Astyanax mexicanus: one gene and its partners. The protein of the gene in region 1 interacts with the protein of each later gene in a biochemical or structural test. Links are inferred from orthologs where the notes say so. Each region holds a gene or a part of one and is shown in the gene's direction. Other genes may lie near its edges.

The links.
Region 2: the proteins of pdzk1 (region 1) and cftr form a complex in vitro, tested with the Homo sapiens proteins (2 studies listed by BioGRID and IntAct, with this or other methods). The link is inferred for Astyanax mexicanus from reciprocal best matches to the Homo sapiens genes PDZK1 and CFTR.
Region 3: the proteins of pdzk1 (region 1) and slc15a5 interact in a test that uses a peptide from one of them, tested with the Homo sapiens proteins (2 studies listed by IntAct, with this or other methods). The link is inferred for Astyanax mexicanus from reciprocal best matches to the Homo sapiens genes PDZK1 and SLC15A5.

What each region holds. Positions count from the first base shown.
Region 1 is NC_064418.1:9,926,982-9,935,177, forward strand, and holds the start of pdzk1 (Na(+)/H(+) exchange regulatory cofactor NHE-RF3), read left to right. Parts: upstream 1-5,164; 5' UTR 5,165-5,225; intron 5,226-7,789; 5' UTR 7,790-7,840; intron 7,841-7,994; 5' UTR 7,995-7,999; coding exon 8,000-8,196. UniProt on the Homo sapiens protein: A scaffold protein that connects plasma membrane proteins and regulatory components, regulating their surface expression in epithelial cells apical domains.
Region 2 is NC_064416.1:24,819,639-24,827,350, forward strand, and holds the start of cftr (cystic fibrosis transmembrane conductance regulator), read left to right. Parts: upstream 1-4,633; 5' UTR 4,634-5,247; coding exon 5,248-5,300; intron 5,301-7,150; coding exon 7,151-7,261; intron 7,262-7,712. UniProt on the Homo sapiens protein: Epithelial ion channel that plays an important role in the regulation of epithelial ion and water transport and fluid homeostasis. Mediates the transport of chloride ions across the cell membrane.
Region 3 is NC_064409.1:54,428,833-54,436,611, reverse strand, and holds the start of slc15a5 (solute carrier family 15 member 5), read left to right. Parts: upstream 1-4,700; 5' UTR 4,701-4,878; coding exon 4,879-5,239; intron 5,240-5,630; coding exon 5,631-5,853; intron 5,854-5,962; coding exon 5,963-6,132; intron 6,133-6,683; coding exon 6,684-6,904; intron 6,905-7,471; coding exon 7,472-7,658; intron 7,659-7,740; coding exon 7,741-7,779. UniProt on the Homo sapiens protein: Proton oligopeptide cotransporter.

The sequences.
Region 1 (8,196 bases):
AAAAAAAAATAAAGCAGCTTCCTAAAATACAGAATAAATCAGAAACCTACAGTCCGTTCAGCAGATCTGCCTGAAACTGCTCTTTTTATTCAGGTTGAACTCAAAACTCTCTGTTCGGTTTAGTGCTTCTGCTGCTGATTCCTTTTTTCCCTGTAGCGCACAGCTGTTATAAAGTAGAGAGAGAGGGGGGGGGGGGGGGGGAGAGAGAGAGGAAGAGAGAGTGTGGACGAGAGAGAGAGCGCAAGAGGGAGAGAAAGAGCATGCGTGTGTATGAGAGAGAGAGGGGGAGAGAAAGAGAGAGAGAGGGAGAGAAATAAAGAGTGTGTGTAACAGAGAGAGTGTGAGAAAGAAAGAGAGTGTGTTTGTGTAAGAGAGAGTGTGAAAGATAGAGAGTGAGAGAGAGAAAGTGAAAAAGAGAGAGAGATTATTTTTCTGTCATCAGCGCTCTGTTGGTTCTGAGAGAGACGATGAAGCAGTGAGGATGGGACTTGAGGAATGAGTGTGAGTATGCGAGTGTGCATGTGTGTGTGTTTGTGTGTGTGAGTATGTGACTGTGTGTGCATGAGTATGTTAGTGTGTGTGTGTGTGAGCATGTGTGTACGAGTGTTTGAGTAAGCAAGTATGCGAGTGTGTGCATGAGTATGTGAGTGTGTGTAAGTGTGTGAGTATGTGCATGAGCATTTGAGTGTGTGAGTGTGCGAGTATGCAAGGGTGTGCATGAGTGTGTGTGAGTGTGTGAGTATGTGAGTGTGTGTGTGCATGTATGTAAATGCGCGTGTGTGTATGATTGTGCGAGGGTGTGTGTGAGTATGCGAGTGTGTGCATGAGTATGTATGTGCAAATGTATGCATATCTTTCTTGTATGGAGAGATATTAGTGCAAAATTAAAAAGCAAACACTATCGTGGAAAAACTACAATCTGCAAAATGCATTCTGTATAACATACAGAATAAATGCCAAACTGAAATGTAAAACCACTATTTCATTACACTTCACTGCATCTGATCTTTATTAAAAAATCTGTTCTTAAAACAATACACAAGAATTTACATTTTCAAAACCAAATGCTGAATTGTTTTAGAATTGCACACAAAACTTTTACAATGCTCAACTGCATGTTATTCCACTGTGTGGCGCTGTGACTGTTCGTAAGAAAATCACAATGCACAGGATTGCATTTCGTCTAGGAGCAGCGCAGAATCTGTGCCTAAATGAAATGTAATCGCTGTCCAATCAGAAACCACTACTAAACTTGGGCGCTCACTCTGGACCAATTCTACCAAAGCCCTGGAGAAAGCACACACAGGTTTGGAAAAAACCCAGTGTAAAAAAATGCCCCAAGTTTGAAAACTGAGCCTGTGTTAAAATCTACTAAACTTTGAACACAGTTCTTTCTCATTAGCATTTTATGGTTATAAGCACAAGGGTTCACATAATTTTTCCACAAACACTATAACATGTTTATGGATGTTCTTAATAAAGAAATAAATGTTTATATGTTTTGAGGCACATTATATTTCTTAATACTCTTGACTGAGATCAAGGTAAGATCACATTTTATGACAAATTTATGCAAAAAAAACATGAAATTCCAAAGAGTTCGCAAAGTTTTTTTTTGCCAATGTACTTACAGAGAACACATTTCTGCATATTCCATTTACAACCCCTGTTTTTTTTACATTTCTGGGAAAAATAAAGTAAGCATAAAAAAGTGGTGAAAATTTCTGTATTTTTTTCAATATTTTAAATTCAGTGATAGATTTATTGAATAATTGCGTTGTATGGTCAGCCCTTCATAAGTTGCAGTAGTAAAAAAAAAAAAAAGACAAATAATGTATTACTTGGTGATAAGTATGTACTAGATAGACTAGATAGTTGAATGTCCTTTAGGTACTTTATTATTATTAATAATAATATAATACCGTATACTGGCCATGGTCCTGCTAATGCTGGTTGAGTTCTAGGCATATTTTGGTCGTTCATTAGAACTGGCTCATCAATACTTGGCATTATGTGTCAAGTGGGCCAAATGAAATAAGTTAATGTGGGTCAGATTTAGCACAGGTTGGTTTTCCAGGTCTTACTTCTAAAAAAAGTAGGAAGTTATGTTCTGAGTTGAGGAGAAAATCACTGGCTCCCTATAGTGGACACTGAGAGACGATGCAGTCCTTACACAACAGCCACGGCTGGCTTTCCTGAAAATATGATTTAACATAATGTGGAGCCTCCACAATAATAATAATAATAATAATAATAATAATAATAATAATTCTATATTTTAATAGATTAAGACCTTTTGGCCTCAGGGTCTCAGGCTCAGCAGTATAAATCCTCTAGCCCACACTAGAGGAGTTCATGAGTGAATAAATCCCTTTAATATTACTTGGATTTCTGCATAAATTGGTCATTAAATGTGTTTAATGTGTTTAATATCAGAAATGAGCAGCGTATTAAAGTAAGTTTCATCAATATTAAGTTAAATTAAAGGTTACAAATCTAGAAAAGATATTAAATAATAAATTAAGCACTTAGTATCATTTATACCTTTCAGTTCTTTGGAATAAAGGTGTTCAGCAGTCTCTTCAAGGTTACTGCAGCATATTCAGCTGCTGCTCAATAATTAAAGGGTATTGAAAAGACAGCCCACTCAGGCATGTTATTGCTTTAGTGAGTGCGGTGTGTGTGTGTGTGTGTGTGTAAAGCACCTCTCTGAGCTGCTAAGGATAAGAATTTGTGGATCACTCTGTTCAATTGATTCTGAAATGTGAAGTTTCAATTATTTGAGACTGAAAATGTATTATGATGTCAGTAAGTCTCTCACTGAGGGCAACGCTGTATTTAAAGGTTAGACAGTATTAAACAGTATTGAAGTGTGTTGAGTGTTGGTGAATGCAGATTAATATACACTGAACAAAAATATAAATGTAACATTTTGGTTGAACTCAAATATCTACTTTTCCTCTGTACACAAAATACGCTGTAATTTTGCTCATAATTGGGTCTAAATCTGTGTTATAAGTGAGCACTTCTCTCACTTTTGCTGAGATAAACCATCCACCAATCACAGGTGTGGCATATTAAGATGCACAGTGATTATTACACCTGTGTAATAATCCCTGTGTCTAATCAGCATCTTGATATGCCACACCTGTGACTGGAGGATGGTTTATCTCAGCAAAGAAGACACAGATTTAGACCCAATTGTGGTCACAATTTGAGAAAATAAAGGTCTTTTGTGCACAGAGGAAAAGTCTTAGATCCTTTGAGTTTAGCTTATGAAAAATGGGAGCAAAAGCAAAAGTGTTTATATTTTTGTTTAGTGTATTTGAAAAAAAAAGGCAGGTTTATTCAGTATTTTCAGTTTATGTTTTTCTGCTGTAGAGATGCATAAAAAAACCCAGTCAACACTCTGGTTTAGTTGTAAATAAATTGTTTTATTCCAGAACCAAAACTTGTGTCTCAATGTTCTCAAGCTTGCCTTGGAGAGAGAGGGTTTCCTGACTTGTGTCATCGTCTTCTCTCCCTAGTTGTGGAGCTAAGAAAAAATATTTACCCCTTTACTTTTTTATTATGTTTTTGCTTTTTTACTATACTTACATTAATACGATTATCAAACAAATTTAATATCAGAGAAATAAACCTGAGTAAACACAGAAAAGATGTTTTTAAATTATGAAATACACCTTAAAACAAGATCCCAGTCTGCTTCTCTTGCAGCAAAAAAAACAGTTCAATCTTTACTGCTTTCTTATTTTTTTGCTTTTTTCATACTTACATTATTCCGATTATCAATCAAATTTAATATCAGAGAAATAAACCTGAGTAAATATAAAAAAGCTGTTTTTAAATGATGAAATGCACCTTAGAACAAGATCCCAGTCTGCTCCTCTTTCAGCCCAAAGACCAGTTCAATCTTTACTGCTTTCTTCTTGTTTTTGCTTTTTTTTTTTATCATACTTACATTATTCCGATTATCAAACAAACTTTAATATCAGAGAAGTATAACCTGAGTAAATACAAAACAGCTGTTTTTAAATGATGAAATGCACCTTAGAACAAGATCCCAGTCTGCGTCTCTTTCAGCACAAAGACCAGTCGAAAACTTTGCCTTCAGATCCACATTGAGCAGTTTGTGGTCTGTGTTTACTCTGCAAAAGAAAGACTGTAGACACATAGTGTTAAATCTCATCCTTGAATGTTGGAACATTATTCCCACCGAGAGAAACGTTAGCTGAGCTGTTCTCAGCATGATATCAGGATTAAACCACAGCTTGTCTGCTAATTTAAGGATCTGTGGGTTTGAGAGGACCAAAAGATCAAAAGCATGATGTTTAAAAGGTTCAGCCTGAAGGTTCAGCACAGCATTCTGCTTCTGTTCTGGCCAATTAGTTCTTCATACTTTGTGTTAAAAAATAAAAAGCTTGATATGAAATATGATAGGTATTTGTGAGCAGAGAATTAATTAAATAAATCAACTATCCAACAATAAAAATGCCTCTGTTATCTTAAAAGAGAATGTAAAAAATCTGAAATGTAAAAAGAGAATAATAAGATTTTATTAATTCTAACTGGTTTAAAATAAAATTTATTTAAACGCAAAATTTGAATGTTAAATTGTGTGTATTTGAGCAGGATAAACTGTTTTTAATTCTGTTGATTTGTGAAGAAACATGTAATCCTGTAATGTAATACACATGAAAATTCTGCAGCCCAAATTATTCTGCTGAAAAGTGCCTTTGTTTTTCAGATGAATAAGTGAAAAGACTGAATAATTTATAACAAACACCAGCGTTTTTGATGACGCAAATAAATTGCTATTTTTCTGAGCTGGATTACTCGTTGATACTTGATGACAGGTCAATGGCAGACATTTTTTGTTTCTCACTTCAGTTCAGAACATTTAAAGCACTTGAATAGTTCATTTAAATGAACAGAATTAGAAATAGTACCGTGTCACTTCTGCCCTCAGCCTCCATAGACTCTCATCCTAACTCAAATCCTTCCTAAAGTTTATGATTGCTGCAGTTTACAGGGTTGATCAGGATTATTCACAGCAACAGTGGGAAGAGGCGTTCAGCCACGAGATGTGGTTAAATAACTCACTCTTTAAGTAAACCTTTGGCCTGTCAAAGTCCGGTACAGACTTACACACAGATAGATAGATAACATCTGTAAGAAGAGGCAAGAACCTCCTTTCAGTACGGACTTCCACAGGACCTGAACAGGTGAGTAGCATCTACCTGACCTGCAGAGAATTATTAGAATCTATAACTGTGATACCTTCAAAAGTGCATCAGTTTGTTATTTCAGTTTTTAATTTTCAATCTCGATATCATTATCATGCTCTATTTGTTCTAATTGCTGACTTTAAATTTTAGTATGCTGTGAATAATTCCCCCCTTTTATATTATTGTCCTGATCATATTAAGCTCCAAAAAATACATATAGTTTATACACAGTCAAAGCTGGTATCTGTAGAATTGCTGTAATTAATGAAAGCTGCATCTAGCAATCAGGCAAATATGTTCAGAGGTCAGTATCAAATAATTTTTTTGTATTGGATTTTTATTAATTAGAAAACAAATCGAATTATAGGCTCTATAATCATAAATTGCTATGATTATAGAATACATCACCATGCAATCTGAAAATATCATAACTGATCGAGAGCTATAGTAACGTTGGTTAGTTATGGGTGAGGTATTACGTAATCTCTGATGGATTTTAAAATGATGATAATGCATAGGGCATATCATTAGTGTTAAATGAAAAACAAGTATCTCCATTTTTGTTGATTTTTAGGTTATACAGAATTTGAAAACCGAACTTTTCCTTAAAATGCATCAATTTTTTGATAAAGATCCTGAAAGAAATTCTGCAACATTACCTGAAATAAACTTTTTTTTTTATTTCCATTGAAAGTTAAGGTTTTGGGATCTCTCTTTCCCTTAAAGTTGCTTTTTTGGAAATGCATGTTTTTTTATTGGACAGCATTGATATGTCCAGTGCTAAATTCATATTTCTTGTATTATAGCTTAGTGTAATAAACTATATTAAATATTTTGTCATTCTTCAAGAAAACAATGTATTTTGATCGAAGTATTCTGAAAATGTAAAATTTTTGTGACAGTTATAATATAAAAATCTAGATGACATTTCACACATGCCTCTTCTCTCTTTCTTCACGCTTGGTAAAAATGGCTATTGACATTTTTTTTATTGCGGAGGCAAAGTGCATTCGCTCCAGCAAAGAACGCACTTTACCATCGCACCTCCAGTTTAACAATTAACGATCCGAGAGCAAGAGTACATTCTGTGAATGTCAGCATATTATCTTCTTATTAAACCTGCATGTCTTCAGTCTGGATAGGGATTTTATGGCTCTGGATAATTGCTATGATTTGCACATCTCAAATTACTCACAGTTATCTCTGTACAGCCTCAGGAAGAGATTCATCAAAAATTATATTTAACTGTATATCACTGTATATACGTTACGTATACAAGCCTGTCTGGTCCACCTGTCCATGTTTTTACTGTAATTGCTATAAATTGTACTATCAGTAATGTGGGCCTAATTTAGTACGATATTCCACTGATTTTAGTGGTTGTAAAGTGACTGGTTGAGTAATTTATGGATATTATAATAATGTCACATAATCCAAAGTACATTTAAAGTACATTTAATCTTTAGTGACTTTGGTTGGAGAATAAATATATTATCTATATTTCTTTGCAGTTTTATTTCTCTGCATTAAGTCTAGGTGTTTTTCTTTATTTCCCTTTATTTAATACAGTCAGGTTATAAGTTATGGGAGGGTTATAAGAATGTAAGCATTCTTTTAAAGTATAAAAAAATTAAACCTTAAATTATATGCTGCACCTTGACAGTATCTTTTCTTAGGATTTTTATTTGTATGTTTTTGGACATTGCATGAATGCATAATTATAATATATAAAGATACAAATTAATAATAATAAAATAATGAAGTCCATTCTTTCATTATTGTGAATGTTTATTTATGAATCTATACTTTTCCGCAGTGTTACGTTAAAGAGATTTAAATGGTGATGTAAGAACACCATTCACCACACCCCGCTGATAAACTTACACTTTTATAGCAGCTTGTGTTGTAAAACAATTTGGCAGGTATGGAATGATAATGCTGGTTATCATTAAGATTAGATATAAACTGTAAAAGGGCACCGAAAAGGTGTGCAATCACTTGCTGGAGGACTTAAAGGGAAGGTCTGGCACTTTTTTTTATAGTTTTTACACTTTTTCATGTAATTATTTATATAAAGGTAAAATCAGTTAGATATCTGTGTGAAAAATCATGTGAAATTAAAATTGTGAATTACGAGAAAAAATACTTTGAAAGATAATTTGAATTATTTACAGTGATGGTCAGAAAAAAAACATTCTCTAAAAAGCTGTTAATGAATCTAATTAATGCCCAAAAAAACTATTTTACACTAGTTGGATTTATTAATAGCTTTTTAGAGAATGTCTTTTTTTCTCATGACCATCACTGTAAACAATTCAAATTAGACAAAAATGGTTACAGAAATGTTGTGAAAAAAAAAACAAAAACAAAACAGAGACATTGTTTTAGAACAGTTTTAAAACTTTTGGCCTTTTTAGCAATTTTTCTTAGCAATTTTTAATAGGCATACATGTTAATTTTATTAACATGAAATTTACGGTATAAATATATAATAAATAAAAATAAAAAAAAGAAGTGCAGGTGTACTGGTGACAATTAAAAAGGTAATTTTTGTGTTTTAGGGCTCACAACCCCTGGTTCTTTTCACCACCATCTAAAAGACGTCTGACTCAGTAAGTTTCTCCAGTATTGTCTAAATCATCTAGTTATGCAGATTTTTTTTTACATTTTATATTTTTAACATAATTTTTTTCCCACCAATTTATCAGAATTATTAGTTAAATTTAGTTTAATTTCTATTTTAACTATATACTTTTTCTCCATTAGGAAACATGTCTGTGCCCAAACCTCGAGTGATCTCTCTCAATAAGCGTGAGGGTCAAAGCTATGGCTTCTTCCTGAGGATTGAACAGGGTGAGGATGGTCATCTGATCCGGGCCCTGGAGATGGGTGGTCCTGCAGAGCTGGCAGGGCTGAAGGATGGAGATCGCATCGTCAGAGTCAACGGCACTTATGTTGACAACCTGGA
Region 2 (7,712 bases), on another chromosome or scaffold:
CAACTGGGAACCTCTGGCTTATAGCATTCCTGGTATCTACAATCTTCCAGACTAAATTGGTTCGAAGTTGATGACTTCTGCAGAACGCATTTCCTTCTTTGAAGGTCTTACCTGCTAATTACTCAGTGCCAACAATACACTGTTAAATGAATTATGAAATTATTGCACCAGCAGTTTATGATGACATGAAGGGTGTGCTGAGGGCACGCCTGTGATGATCACACCTGGACTCATTGAAGGGTTCTGTATGTAAAAGAACCAAAATTGTTGTTCTGTACGTTTAAATAGTTGGAACTGAGTGAGAACAGTCAGTTGTTTTCATGTGACTGCTTATTTATCATCCGTAATTTCATTACAGATCTAGAGCATGTCAGCAACTGAGAGCAGGTCGAAATGATTCACTCAGACTGCTCTAAATGCCCAAACTCATGCACACAAACAGCATAAACTCCCAAACCATTTCTCTGATAATTCTAATAACGATGGCTCACATTTTTGCTATCAGAATTTTGTGCCTTTTGGCCCTCAAAGATGTAATTTTTTTATTATTATTATTAGTTTTTTTTACATATTTATAAGACTTCACACTTCACTGTTTATGGTAAACTTGTTATGTTTTGAAGATACATTTTGATTTTCTAATTACCGTGATATTTTACAACAATAGGGTGGACTGCATAAGCTCTACCTCAGCTAAATATACAGACAAAGGAAGAAATATTAAGTGAAATTAATATTATTAATTACTGAACATGCAACAAGGAAACAAAACAAGTTAATCCTAAACAGTCCGTTGCACAGTGTTTTATGAAATTTAAACAAATATGCTGCAGACATGAAAGGATTGTTATATCGATAATAACCGATACATTAATGTCAGTTCTGCATGATTGAAATATGTCATATAAACATAATGACTTGGCCTATATGTAACCACTCTAATGCACAGTTCATAATTTCGGTCTGAGGTCATGACTTCAAGTCTCCAAAATTTAAAAAGCCTAAAGTTAGACTGCTTTATTCATTACACAACCATGTCTGGTGTGTCATTGTCCTAATGGAACAGGCCTTGCTGATGGTTTGAGCTTAAGCTGAAGAAGGGAGGGGCAGTCCACCACAGAACATGATGGTTTCACCACCATGCCTAACAGTTTATATATTGTTCTTGGGGATGAATGCCTCACTCTCCAAATATAATTTTGGTCACTGTGGCCATTCCTTGTGTCATCTGACAATAAACCTTTCTGCTTGAAGTATTTTTTCTTGTCAATGTAGTTGAGCATAACATTACAGTTTTTGAAGCAGGGGCCTGAGTCTTGGATAGAAGCCTCTCAGTTTATGGTAATGTGTAAAATCTGCTTAACTGTATAGGGTGACACAGGTGTTCCAGCAGCTTCCAGTTCATGGTAGGCCTGTCCCTTGATGGTTCTTGTGTTGTTCCTGACCATCCAAACCAGTTTCCTCTCAGCTGGTGGATGCATCCTATTTAATTTTGGGGGTTTTATGCTCACAAGGACATGCTACATTTTAGTCTTTTGTTCTTGATTTAAAATGTGTGTAAGTCAATACAATAAATAGTGCATTTAGAGCTGTGTAAAATAATTACAAATGTTTAAAAAAGTCAGTGTTGGGGCAGTGTTGCATTACTTATTTAATGTGGGTTTAGTTACCCTTAGGTTTTAATAAACTGTTCCTAAGGGTGGTAAATCTTGACAAAACAGGACAAGGCATTCTGTTAATTGCAGGTAAATGATATATATTTGTCTGACTCCTGATCCTCCTGCAGTGGGTAACTGATACTTCCTCTGCTAGACGATGGCAGAAATGGTACAGTTAGGGTATGGTTTACCAGAAAAAATACTGACATTCCAAAAGTAATGGGACAGAAACTAGTATTGTGTCTAATGGAAGCTAAAGAATGGTTCACTGACCTGCAGATTATGCTTGCTTGGGGCCTCCTGTGTTGAATGGGGACATGATTTCTGACAGTTTCTTGTTTGTTTGCACAAACAATTTTGGCTTCCAGTCACGATCCTTACTACCCACAACGCCGTTCACCATGTGTGGTAATGCCTTTTGGCATGTCAGTGTAAATGTCAGCCAAACAGACATTCTTTACCAGACATTCTTCTCAGATCTGGTGTATTTTCATATGTGTTTTAATTTTTAAAAAAAGAGAACAAAAAACATTTTATAGTAATTAAAAGAAGTATATTTACATTTAGAAGTTAACATGCATTGAATTTTGTGCTGCCAATATTCACTTCTGCTTATACTGAAAAAAACAGTTCTTGCTTATACTGAAACTGTAAATACAACTGTTTCATTCCTGTTGTCTCAATCTATAGGGGGAGTCAATGATTCAGTTATTTAGGTATTGCTCACTAGTTTTGCAGTAAATCCTTTGTTCATTTGTTATTGTGCTGCGCTATGATTCATTAAAGGGAAATTCCACCAGGTTTAGTTAATTTGTTGAGGTGTGAACTTGAAAGTCATTCATAGTGGTTTAATATGAAATCCAAGGCGAAACTTATTGTTCAAATGTTGTGATTACAAATGTGGCATTAGTAGTGGGCTGTCAGTCTCACCCAGCATAACTACTGCACCAATAGCTTCAGCAATTAGTTTCCCTTTGTGTTTATCAGAACTAGTTTTGAGTAGTAAAAAATTCATATGAGCAGAATTTATCCAGAATTTCCTATCCTCTTCCTTTTCTTGTTGCTGCTTACCCTCTTTCTTATTTACCTTCAACCGTTAACTGTTTTTTCTCTTAATGTTTATGTGGTTTGATTACCTTGGCTTCCAGATCAAAGATATTGTACTATAGCTATTGTATTCAAATACAGAGTGAATTCAAAAACAGTAGTGAAATACAATAGTAATTCACAATGGCAAAGTTTAAAAGGCCCTTAGTCCTGAATAAGAAATGCTGTAGTTCATTTTGAAACTTTTGCCTTTGTCACTTGATGGGAGATATGTGAGATTACTGAGGTGTTTATCGCAGGAGTCCTGTTTGAGCAGCAGGAGAGACATGTTGCACTCTTCCTTTTCTTCCGATTGGAAACTATGTCAGGAGATATAGAGATATCCTTATTTACTTTTTATTGTTCCCACCTCTTGACAGGTGCAACTATAAGGACAGAATGTTATTAATGTTTATGTTTGATGGACAAGCTGGTCAGCTAGGTTGACCAGTGTGGTTGGGCTGGTCATGCTATTCATTCAAGTCATACTTAACTAGCTTGGCCATGCTGGTCAACTACTTTGGTTATACAATAGTTCACCAGCATTGAAAACCATTGGTCAACTAACCTGGTCATGATGGTCAACAAGCTTGATCAACCATTTTCGCCATACTGGTCAACCATCGTGGTCATGCAAGTCAACCACCGTGGCAATGCTGGTCAAGCAGTTTGGTCAACCAGGTAAGGCTAAGACTATTCAACCACCTTAGCCATTCTGGTCAAGCTGGTCAACCACACTGATCATGTTGCCAATCAGCTTATTTAGGCGGTTTGACCACCACGTTATGCTGATCAAATTTGTCAACAAGCTTTTCATTCTACTCAGCCAACCTGGTCATGCTGGTCAATGCTGATCATATTGATTATGCTAGTCAACCACATTTTTCATGCAGGTCAACCACATTGGTCATGTTGGTCCTGCTGGTCAACCAACTTGCCAGACTTATCTTCCTCCTTTGTCGAGGAAAGTTGTTAATGCTGGTCAACTATGGTGGCTTGCAAAAATATTCAGACCTCTTTAACTTTTTATCATTTTTGTCACTTTTTCACAACTGCAAACGTCACTTCTTATGTCTTTCCTTCAACAATAGTTTTCTTCTTGCCACTCTCCCGTAAAGGCCAGATTTGTGGAGTACACGACTTATAGTTGTCTTGTTGACAGATTCTCCCAGCTCAGCTGTGGATTTCTGCAGCTCCTCCAGAGTGACTACAGGTTTTTTGTCTGCTTCTCAGACCAGTGCTCTCCTTGCTTGATCTGTCAGATTGGGTGGACGACCATGTCTTGGTGGGACTGCAGTTGTAGTATACTTCTCCATTTTTAAATGATGGACAGGTGTATTTATACTGAGAAAAGATTACACACAGTTATTAAATAATTAAAGCTACGTTCACATTACAAGCTACATTGCTCAAATACGATTTTTTGCTTAGATTGGATTTGGCGGTTCATTGTAACAAATGTAATTGACCCGTATTTGTGTGTAATGTGAACGAATCTATTTCTGAAACGCCTCACATGCGCACATTAATACATGTATAAAGGTAGCCTTCTTCCCAAACAACAATAAATATCATATTTGAGAGACGACTCGTAGCTTTACTAAGGAAGTAAATGTGTTAGCAGTTTATATGTGGAGCATCTTTTGCTCAATTGGAGAGCAAACAGCTGGTTTGAAGTACATGCTCAGGTCAAGCAGGGGGAAAAAGGCCAGGCGGCTTGCTTTTGCTGTTTTTTAGCATTTCTGTCCCACTTCACAATTATGTGCTACTTTGTGTTGCTCTCTCATTTAACATCTCAGTAAAATACATTAAATACGTTGGTTTTAAGGTGACAAAATATAAAAAATAAAGGAGTATAAATACTTTTGCAAGCCACTGTAGCGTGGTCAGGTTGATCACGCTAATAGATAAACCACCAAACTCAAACGACCTGTACTGGAAAAGAGCTAAACCGGTCAGTCAGTATAAGGAAATCCATGTGTCGGTTAATGTCGGTGTTGATGATGTCTGTATGTGGGGAATGAGTGCAGGGCGCTTCCTGCACTGAGTGTGAGTTAGGTACAGTGGTGTGAATATGTGGTGACTGTGGGCTCTGAATGACCGAGTCTCGCGCAGATCTCCTCCTCCGCCTCCGCGCGCCTGTTTGTGTGTTTGGATATCGTGTCTCCTCGCCGCGCCGCACGTGAGCTGATTGTGTTTAAAAGGCAGAGCGCGCGAGAGCGGCGTGCCCACAGGGGAGCTCGCGCAGTGCAGCGCGGACAGAGTGCGGTGCTGCTCGCGCGCGGATCACGGGGGGGCTCGCGACGTCCACGCGCACACACCAAGTACACGGACAGCGCTGTGAGACGGTGTGGGGAAGGGGGGGTTTCTTAACGGGGAGAAATACGGAGAACCCCTTACCCCTTAAGTGTATGAGTGTGAGTGTGTGTGGAGGACAGCAGCCCTATTGAAGGGACAGCAGATGTGAGCGGAGAGCTGCTTCCCGCGCCCGGGCTCGGCGAGCATGAACAAGTCACCTGTGGATGAGGCCAGTTTCCTCTCCAGATACTTCTTCTGGTAAGGAGCTGCTAGAATATTCCACGCACTGAATATAAACTCATTTACAAAAGGTGAAGTGAAGACATACTGAGAGAAAGAGGCTATAGCTGCTCTCGCAGTATCATATAGGGTTTATATAGATATAAAGCTCTGGAAGAAATTAAAGAGACCACTTCAGTTTCACCTCAAAATCTCTTATTTTGCTATTCATAGGTACATGTTTGCGTAACATGAACATTGTTGTTTTATTCTATAAACTACGGACAATGTTTCCCCCAAATTCCAAATAAAACAATTGTCATTTAGAGAATTTATTTGCAGAAAATAAGAATTGGCTGAAATAAAAAAGATGCAGAGCTTTCAGACCTCAAATAATGCAAAAAGTATTTGGTGGAATAACCCTGATTTTTAATTACAATTTTTATGCATCTTGGCACGTTCTCCTCCACCACTCGTCTTACACACTGCTTTTGGATAACGTAATGCCACTCCTGGAGCAAAAAATCTAGCAGTTCAGCTTGGTTTGATGGATCGTGATCATCCATTTTCCTTTTCAATTTGCTTAAATCAAAGAAACTCACTATTTAAGCGGTCTCTTATTTTTTTCTAGAGCTGTATATATATTTATAATAAAATGACAATCAAATATATGACAAATATTTTATTTAACTAAATTTTAACTATTTTAGTAATAAATTAAGCATCAAAGTCTTCAGCCACTCACAGAAAGCAGAACAGAGCCTCAGCAACTCTCCAGACTCGCTTTTCAGCTCAATATCTTAAGATAAAAGTAGTGCTACTTCAGTCAAACAGTGTTTGCTTAAAATATACTTTTCTAAAAATACAAAATAAACGAAAATAGTAACTAATTTAGCTAGCTCACATAAATCGCTAGATAACTTAAAGCATCTTTAGCTAACCACAGATTCCACACTATGCCTCTGTTTAAAATAATAATAATAATATGTTAATTACTAAAATGTTAATTACTTAAGATGTAGCTAAAGAAAATATTTTAAGATTAGATATTCGATTGTATTATAATTTTATTATAATAAATATTGATTATATTTAATTTGATTTTTTTAAATAAAATTTGATCCCTGGCAGATTTAGATTTAAGAGTACATTTGCAGCAATATAATGAGTATAAAATAAATAATCAAACTGTGTACATTTGCTTATTACCAGTATTGGAAAAAATGCATCTAACCATTTTTAGAGTGTAAAAACCAAACAATAAATCAACAGATTGATCTATAATATAAGTAACCATTAGCTGGAAATAAACCTCACATTTGTATTTTTTTAAACTGATATTTTTTAAGATTTAGCCATAGAAAAGCATTTGTTTGAACACCCCCTATATCTACCACGTTTTAACAAATGAAGCCATGTAAGAACAAATTCATTTCAAAATTGCAGCTTTAGGAGAAGGAAAAATAAGATTTTTTAGTGGAAGACTACATGTAAATAGGTTTTGTTCCAATTCAGAAAAAATTCAGAAAATTAAAATATAAAAATGCCAGTAACACCACAAAATAAAAATAGAAATTGTGTGACAACAGTCAAATACATTGTTATGCAAGAACCTTGTATCTTGTATCTGAAAGTTATAGTTAAGATATGTTTGAGTTTTTTCTGTTTTGGAGATCAACACAACAACAACAACAATATAAGGAAAACACTGAACTGAACAGCTAATTACTGCATGTGTCTCTTAGCTACAGTGTTACTAAAAGCAGTGTTACACTTTAAACACTTTTGCAGGTTTGTAGCATCACTTTTATAGACACTTTATAGACACACTGACATCGAAACACCCAAAAACAATTTGACTGACGTTTATTTGTTCTGACCTTTTGCAGGTGGACAAACCCTATTATGCGAAAGGGTTTCAGGGAGAAACTGAGGCCAACAGATGTGTATCAAACGGCATCACAAGACACAGCTGATGTACTTGCAGAACGGCTTGAGAAGTTTGTGTCTCCTACTCATCCTTGCATGCTCATAATGAATGAGATTATAAGTTTGCTGCTGTGGAGATAAGATATTGTTTTATTGCTTGATGCCAGGCTCATAGTCTTCTATTGTTTTATTGTTTAATGTTAGTTATCCCCAATTTCCCCCAGTACTCCTTCATTCAGTGATGAACAGAGAGTGACTCTGTTAACATTAAACATGAAATTTTATTTCATAACACAACCCTATTTACAGCCACAGGATGTGTTGTCCCTGCTCCTGTTGCAGCTTCCAGAGGTTTCAAAGGTCCTGTTACTTAAGCTGGCCTAAACACCGTCACACCTTTGAGTCAGAGTGTTAGATGTTTTGTGTTGTAAGTAAATGCTGCCTTGCTCCTTCCAGTAAAAGCCCTAACATGCCATGTTTCACACCACCCACTATGCATTTTCTTGGGTTGGGGTGCCAGTG
Region 3 (7,779 bases), on another chromosome or scaffold:
CTTGTGGAGCACTGAGGGTCTCTGTTCCCTAAGATACAAACAGCATGATGTGATTAAAGTAGTCTAGACCCGAATCTTCAAAACAAGCAAAAACGATTTAAAACAGCTAAGGCTGTGCACTTTCACACTTGAATCTTTTGCAGATCAGTAATGGCTGCAGCTCAAGAAGCACACCTGTAGACTGTCGAATTCATTAGAGCTGACAGGCTATTCTAAACACGACTCCTGGCACTCTGCAACAACAAACTCTACATGTAGACCCACAAAGATGCACAGCTGCAGGGCACAAGCCAAGGACATAAAAGACTTCCATATACAAACTACATGATTACACAGTCGTAAACACAGGAAATGTTCATTAGCTATTCTGCAAGTACTTACATTTACTAAAGCTTATGCTTAAAATTACAATCTGGTTAAATTAGCATTTAGTGGGCTATGATTTTAGTTATAGAAGCATTTAGGACTGGATCTAGCAGTTCTTTAATAGTACACATATTTACATAATAGAAAAGGGCAGCTGTTACTTTTTTTTTCTTTTAATTTTTTTATTTGCAGTGTTTTGAGAAAATATTTTTTTATTTAAAAATTTTAGTTCAAGACGAACTTTAGCTGATTTTTAGCTGGTTTTTAATGGTCTAAGCTGGACCTTGATAGTCATGTTTTTGGAAAAGAGGGTTATTAAGGTAAAAACATACTTTGCTGGTAAGCTAGCTGGTTAACGAAATTCTAACCAGCACAGTTTGTGCTGTATTTGATTTTGGTCATGCTTTGGTACCCTGGTCATGCTGGTCAGGCTGGTGGACCAGCTTCTTCATGTTAGTCATGTTTATAGACCAACTAAATCATCAAACTCAAAGAAAAAACATAGTCAAACAGCGTAGTGATGCTGGTCCATAATTTGATTTGAACAAAAAGTTCTGATTGGACCTGTACAAAGACCTTGAGCAATATATGTGCTCTATAAAGTATTAGTATACACACAGATTACAGGTATCAATAACAGTTCCTGAGGAGACCACACCTGTCTTCAGTCAAGCAGGTTATTTAAAAAATTATCTAAAGAGTTGGAACTTGCAGTGCTTGGGGACCTAAAACCATCATAATAACAGGATTAGGCATCACTGTTAAGCGCATGCTTTTTTAAGTAGTTGCACCAGGAGACAGAAAAGCATATTGTGAGAACGGAACAAAACTGCGCACTACCTGCGTTCGCAGTTCTGGGAATCCTCACGATAATAGGATTAACTTTAATGTTTGGTATGCATTTTCATCTCAATCAAAATCCAGACCTCCCCACTAATGCTCTTTTAACTTGATGTGACCAAATCAGATTCTCAAAGCAATGTTCTAAAACTGAGTAAAAACTTTCTTTAAGCAGTAGAGACAGTTACTTTAACAAAAGCAAAAATAAAATCCTTTTTAACACTCTTGATGTATATAAAGTTCATTACAGCTATGTGGATTTGACCATTTCTCTATTGCACACATGCTGGTACTGTACACGTCTTATCCATGCCAACTCAAACAGTGCCTCCTACTGGTAAACTAAAGCAACTGCACCTCAGAGGCACTGACAAGCACTAAACAAAGCCAGGTTATTGAGGCAAATACTTTTAATGTAACATGTCAGTATGGATTTCTGTGATGTCATGTGTCTTTACTTTGTCAAATTAACTATTCCCCTGGTGTGACCAATTAAACAATAAAAAAGACACTCCTGGAAATCTCCTGAAAAATGATTTCATCATTCATCAAGCGTTCCAGGATGAAACGATGAAACGCAGGATGGGATCCATGGAGACCAAACTGCAGGCTCATTCACTGATGCACCACACAGAGCTGGTATTCTTTCAGTCTTGCCGGTTTCCTTTCTCTTTTCAACGTAGCTCCGCTAGCTTAGAGCCCCATTCACGCCCAGTCAGCACCACCAGTGTGGCCCTTTCTCTGCTCATAATTGGTGAGCTCAGGCAGAAATATTCAAGTCCAGCACACCGCAACCAACCAGAACAGTGAGTGTGTGATGCCAAATGGCAATAGGCCAACAAGCACAAACAAAGAACCTCAACTTCAAAAGGCCATTTCTTCCTTCCATGAAATGACAAATTATTTCAATCTCTCTGAAAAACTGGGGCAATTAAATGAAATAATATTGAACATGTGCAAGCATGAATACCTAACTACTGTACATTTAGTTTACACGGCCAATTACAACAGAATTGTGATCATTGTTAACAAATTCTAAAGTTTCCTAATAGACCGTTCTCAGATTTCCACATTCATTAATGTGGAAGCACAAATAGTGGAGTTCAACAGCTTTGTGTCTGATCGTGTTGTAAACACATCAATAACTCAAGTTTAAAATGTTTAACTACACCAGGAAATCCTCATGTGTCATTTTTCACGAGGCAACATGTTATGAGAGTTAAACTAAACCAGGTTTAATGCAGGGCTGAGCGATGGGACATATTTATTCATACTGGTGATTAACCTGAAGATCAACATCGATTCATTGATGTAGGGTAGAGTGAGGTATGAAAAGGACCATTTAGTTAATTAGACAATAACTAAGAGAAAAGCAATTCAATAATTGCAACACAAGTTCAGAATGTGAGGTATTAAACATTAAAACCCCAAATAAAACTCAATTAGACAACAAAATATGGGGCACAATGAAAGTGTTCTTTTTAGCTCAGCCTGGGGTCAAGACAAATCTAAGTAAATGTGAGTTTACATGATTAAAATGACCTACAGTGTCCCAGATACAGGTGGTGTTTCAACTTATCCAGTGGCTCTTTTTATCCTACTCTCCCATCTGTGTCATACTGACAATTTTTCCAGAAAGTCTGTTTAAAGTCCTTAAACAAGACAGACATCTCAGCATTGTATTTAGTATGTATTTTTTATGGGTCAGACTCTGATACACTCCATTATCTGAAAGCAGCTGCCTTTACACTTAATGTTGTTGGGTAATTTACCTCAGCATGACTAAGATAAAACTTGGATGTGAGCACTCCTAGTCTTAATGAATGACTGTTAGAATGTCAAAGTGTAAAAAGATGACCATATTTAAAGTTTTTAAATATATTAAATATATTAAATGTACTTAAATAATAGTTTCATTATTACAGATATATACACATTTTGTTGACAGAAAACCTGCTACAGTGACTATGAGAAAGGTCTATTACGGGAAGGTTGTGGCACACTATTTGCCAGTAACAAAAAAATGTCGTTCTTGGACAAGCATGTTGTCAAAAGAATCAAAACCATATTTAGAGTAATTAGAGTTCTGTGTTTCCAAAATTAAACAACACATCTGGACTTTTATACAGTATTTTGTCTGTATGCAGTAGTGTATCCCCTGAATCCTCTCTAAGCAAAACACTCTCTGGAGCCTTTGTACAGAGCGTAGATTTTCACACTAGTCTGTGACATGCTGTAGGAATCTCTGATCATTAAAACTTGAATGAAAGCACGGACTACTTTAATGCATGCTTATGAAACCAGTCTGTTTCTCCTGAACTATTTACAAATTAAATATATTGTGCATTAAAAGTTTTGAACTTTTGAATCTGGGCAATTGTCCTTTATATTGTGTTAACTACGGTGGCCGAGAAAGCCCAGCGCAGTGCAAATTGAAAAGCGCTGCAAAAGCACAAAACACATCCATCAAAATTACAACACAGGCGCAGCAAATAGAAAAACGCGCTGCAAAAAGAAAAACGCGCTGCAAATAGAACCACAACACAACGGAAGTGAGTCACAACACAACGGAATTTTCCCGGGGGACCTTAAAAGATGCTGTACCAGCTGTATACAAAGGACAATAAGTGGCAAACAAGCTTCTGAAAAGTAAGTTATGTTTATTACCTGTGATTACCACGGTTGTGTGCATATTATTAAAAGTTCTGCTTCACAAAACGCCTTGTTTGCCACTTATTGTCCTTTGTACACATAGTGAAGTCCGAGACGTTACTGAAGACGCAGCTTAGCTGGTACAGTATCTTTTAAGGTCCCCCGGGAAAATTCCGTTGTGTTGTGACTCACTTCCGTTGTGTTGTGGTTCTATTTGCAGCGCGTTTTTCTAGTTGCAGCGCGTTTGTCTATTTGCTGCGCCTGTGTTGTAATTTTGATGGATGTGTTTTGTGCTTTTGCAGCGCTTTTCCATTTGCACTGCGTTGGGCTTTCTCGGCCACCGTAGTTAACATATCATTGTGTCTAAAAATCTTCTAAACTATAGCATTCAAAATGAATGCTGACTTCCACTGAAAATCAAGAAGGTATTTCCTTCTCCTGTAAAGCTGCTACTTGATTTGTTTTTTGTTTGACAGCAATGATATCCTTGCTTGAAGTCCCAAAGTCAAATGCTGTCAACAGACCATTTTATGTCAGTACTCAAGCATTCAAGACAATCACAAAATAATAATAAGCTAAGTCACTTACACACATTTCACAATTCCCACCTCTCCTAAGGCCCACTTCTCCTCACCGGGGGGAGGGTACTAATATTAACAGACTAATAAATGATAACCTAGATCCACTTAGAAACTCATTACAAAAATATCTCACACACTCCTGACATCACTTTCATGTATAAAGGCTTGTGTCACCACACTGGCATCATGTCCACCACCCTAATAAGCTGACTCAGAAACCAGCAGCAGCAGTCAGTTCATACTCTAGTGAGGAGAACAGGTGAACAAACATTACTCAGAAGTCACAGGAGAAGATCAGCATGAGCTTCTGCACGTGTAGATGCTGGCAAATAAGACTTCACAGTCCTGTGAGGAATTGCTTTGTTGTTTCCCAGATTGGATAGAGAAGATACTGCAGTGCTCAAGCAGCACTTCACACAGGAGGACCTGAAGAAGCAGCATGGCGTCTCTCAGTGTTCCTGGCCTCCATGGTGGCCGTCAACTGCAAAGGGTCTCGACCGCTCGACGCCCGAGTGGGATGGTCACCCCATATAAGCCTCGAAAGTCCAGAAAGAAGCTGCAGGTGATTATCTGTATTCTTTTTGTGGAATTGTTCGAGAGGTTCACCTTCTTTGGGATTGTTTGCAATATGATCCTCTTTTGCACCATCAAGCTGGGATATCACAATTACCAAGCTGCCACAGTCAACCTGTGTTTTGTTGGAGCCAGTACACTCACACCTGTTCTTGTGGGCTGGTTTGCAGAGACGTGTTTGGGGAGGACAAAAGTACTCTATCTTTGCGCTCTGCTCCATTTTATAGGTAAGTTGACACTGTTGTTATTAAGAAACAATGCAAAAAAATGTATGACTAAAATATGTAGAAAAAACTTACAATGTGATTCATGTATGTGTTGATTAAAATGTGTTTTAATAATTTGTTTAATGTGTGTTTGTTAAAATGCAGATTGTATCAGCATTTTTAAGGTCTGTACAATGCACACGGTTGTGGTAAATGTTGTTACATGAATCAGATGTTATATGGTCACGATGGAGAACATGTTTGGAGTGGTATATCAGATACCACAGCATGGGATTTGCTGAAGGCATGTAGACTCCTGTATGTCAATATATTCCAAGAGTCCAACACTGTCTTACAAGCCTTGAATGAATAACAATTCACATTACATTAAGTCCTGATTTTCTGTCCATAGGTACTGCCATGCTCCCTGTTGTTGCATTCCCCTTTGAGGATTTCTACATTGACACACACAATATTATTCACCGACTAGAGCCACGAGAGCAACAGCTTCTCTTCTACGTTGGGCTGCTAGCCGCTGCCCTGGGTATTGGGGGCTTCCGTGCTATTCTATGCCCGTTAAGTGCCTATTACCTTCAGGGTTATGACCAACACCAGATACTGTCCTTTTTTAATTGGTAAGACATTAAATCATTAACTATAGATAATTAAGAGCAAATCAAAATGCTTGTACATCTCTGGAAGGTTATGCTATTGATGTAAAACTGATGGTATTTATAACCACAGGCTCTACTGGCTTGTGAATCTCAATTCTACAGTTGTGTTCCTGGGGATCTCCTATATTCAGCAGTCTGTGGGTAAAAACCTGGGCTTTCTCATTCCCTTCACCTCTGTTCTATTGGCTCTTGTTGCGATACACATGGCACGCAACAATCTCATCTTTCATCCAAAGAAAGGTAATGGACTAACAAACACATACAGATAAACAGATATACAAATATACACAAATAAAATAAATGTGCTGTTTATATAATTCTGCATAGATCAAAACTTCTGCAATAAATTATATGCAATAGATGGTATTCATTGGAGTCCTGTTTCTGCCAGAACATGTCGTTTGGTCAGACTGAAACAGCCAAACCAGCTATGAAACAAGTGGTCATGTGTTTAAATTGAAGGCCGTTGGGCTCTAGAGCAACAGACCAATTAGAAACTAGAAATTAGGTTTCCTTACATTGTTATGTACATTGATTTCAACAAGTTTTTATATTTAATCACACAAGGGCTCTTTCCCATTTTGTGTCTTCACAGCATTTACAATGAACGCTAATGCTGCCACTCAGTATACTGCCACTGGGCATAATCACACAGACTCTCCCCAACTGTGATATCATATGTGTACCCTCTATATATAGATGACACTGAATTTCACATAACAGTATTTGATCATTGTGTCTTCTTCTCTTCCTTCATTCCATTGACCTTTCATGTGTGGGAAAACACACAGCCAGTTTGTTGCTGACCACACTGGGTGTGTTCCTAAACTCCTTAAAAATGTCCTGCCTCCATTATCGTCATTTGAGTGGAGACGTGAATAATTGGCTGGACCGTGCCAAGGAGAACAATGGAGGACGCTACAGTGAGACCAGTGTTGAAAATGTTAAGATCCTGGTTAAGCTTTTTCCTCTTTTTGGACTGCAGCTGCTCTACCGGGCTTGTATAACCCAAGTAAGTATATATGCGAAACAAAATTTTCTGTTAATGTTTGTTACACAATAAAAAGGTGTTTGTACGATTTGACCTAAACTTCCTATAATTGCACCTATAAAATACAAAATAAGTGGACAAAAGTACTAAAACCCCTGCTCCTGTCCAGGGAAATCTATTAGATTTTGGAGCATTGCTGTGAGGATTTGATTGCACTTATACCCCTCCAGTCCACTACTGGCATTAGGCATAGTGCCAATAGATTCACATTTAGCTGCTTTGGAAAAATTCCTATACTATTGGTAGCACTCAGGGACTAGACAAGCAGTTTATATATGTCCATTTGTACATTTGTGTCAGCAATAGCTGCAGAAGGGGTGTCCACAAACATTCAGACATATCGTTTCCACCACTTGTACATAAACTGATCTTATACATAATGTAATGATGAACATTTAATCTTCAATTATTATTATTATTATTATTATTATTATTATAATTCATATTATCTCTGTTTAGGTATTATCTCTGAGCGCAGATGTCCATTCCACAGTTGTATAACCAATAACATAATTTGCATCTTCACAGATTCCATCAGGATACTACCTCCAGACCATGCATTCAAATCTGAACTTCAATGGTTTCCTCCTTCCTATAGCAGCTATGAATGTGATCAGTATCCTGCCATTGCTAATTTTAGCACCACTACTGGAATTTTTTGGCACCTGTTATCAGTCTTTGAAGAAAACACCTCCTTCTCCAGCCAAATTCATAAGTATGCATGTCCAATGAATTATAAGTAAGTGTGACAGGTATGGAGTGTAGTAAGCTCTACTTTGTGACATCTTTTCTTGCAGCAGCGGGACATGCCTGTGCAGCTCTGTCTGCACTAGCTG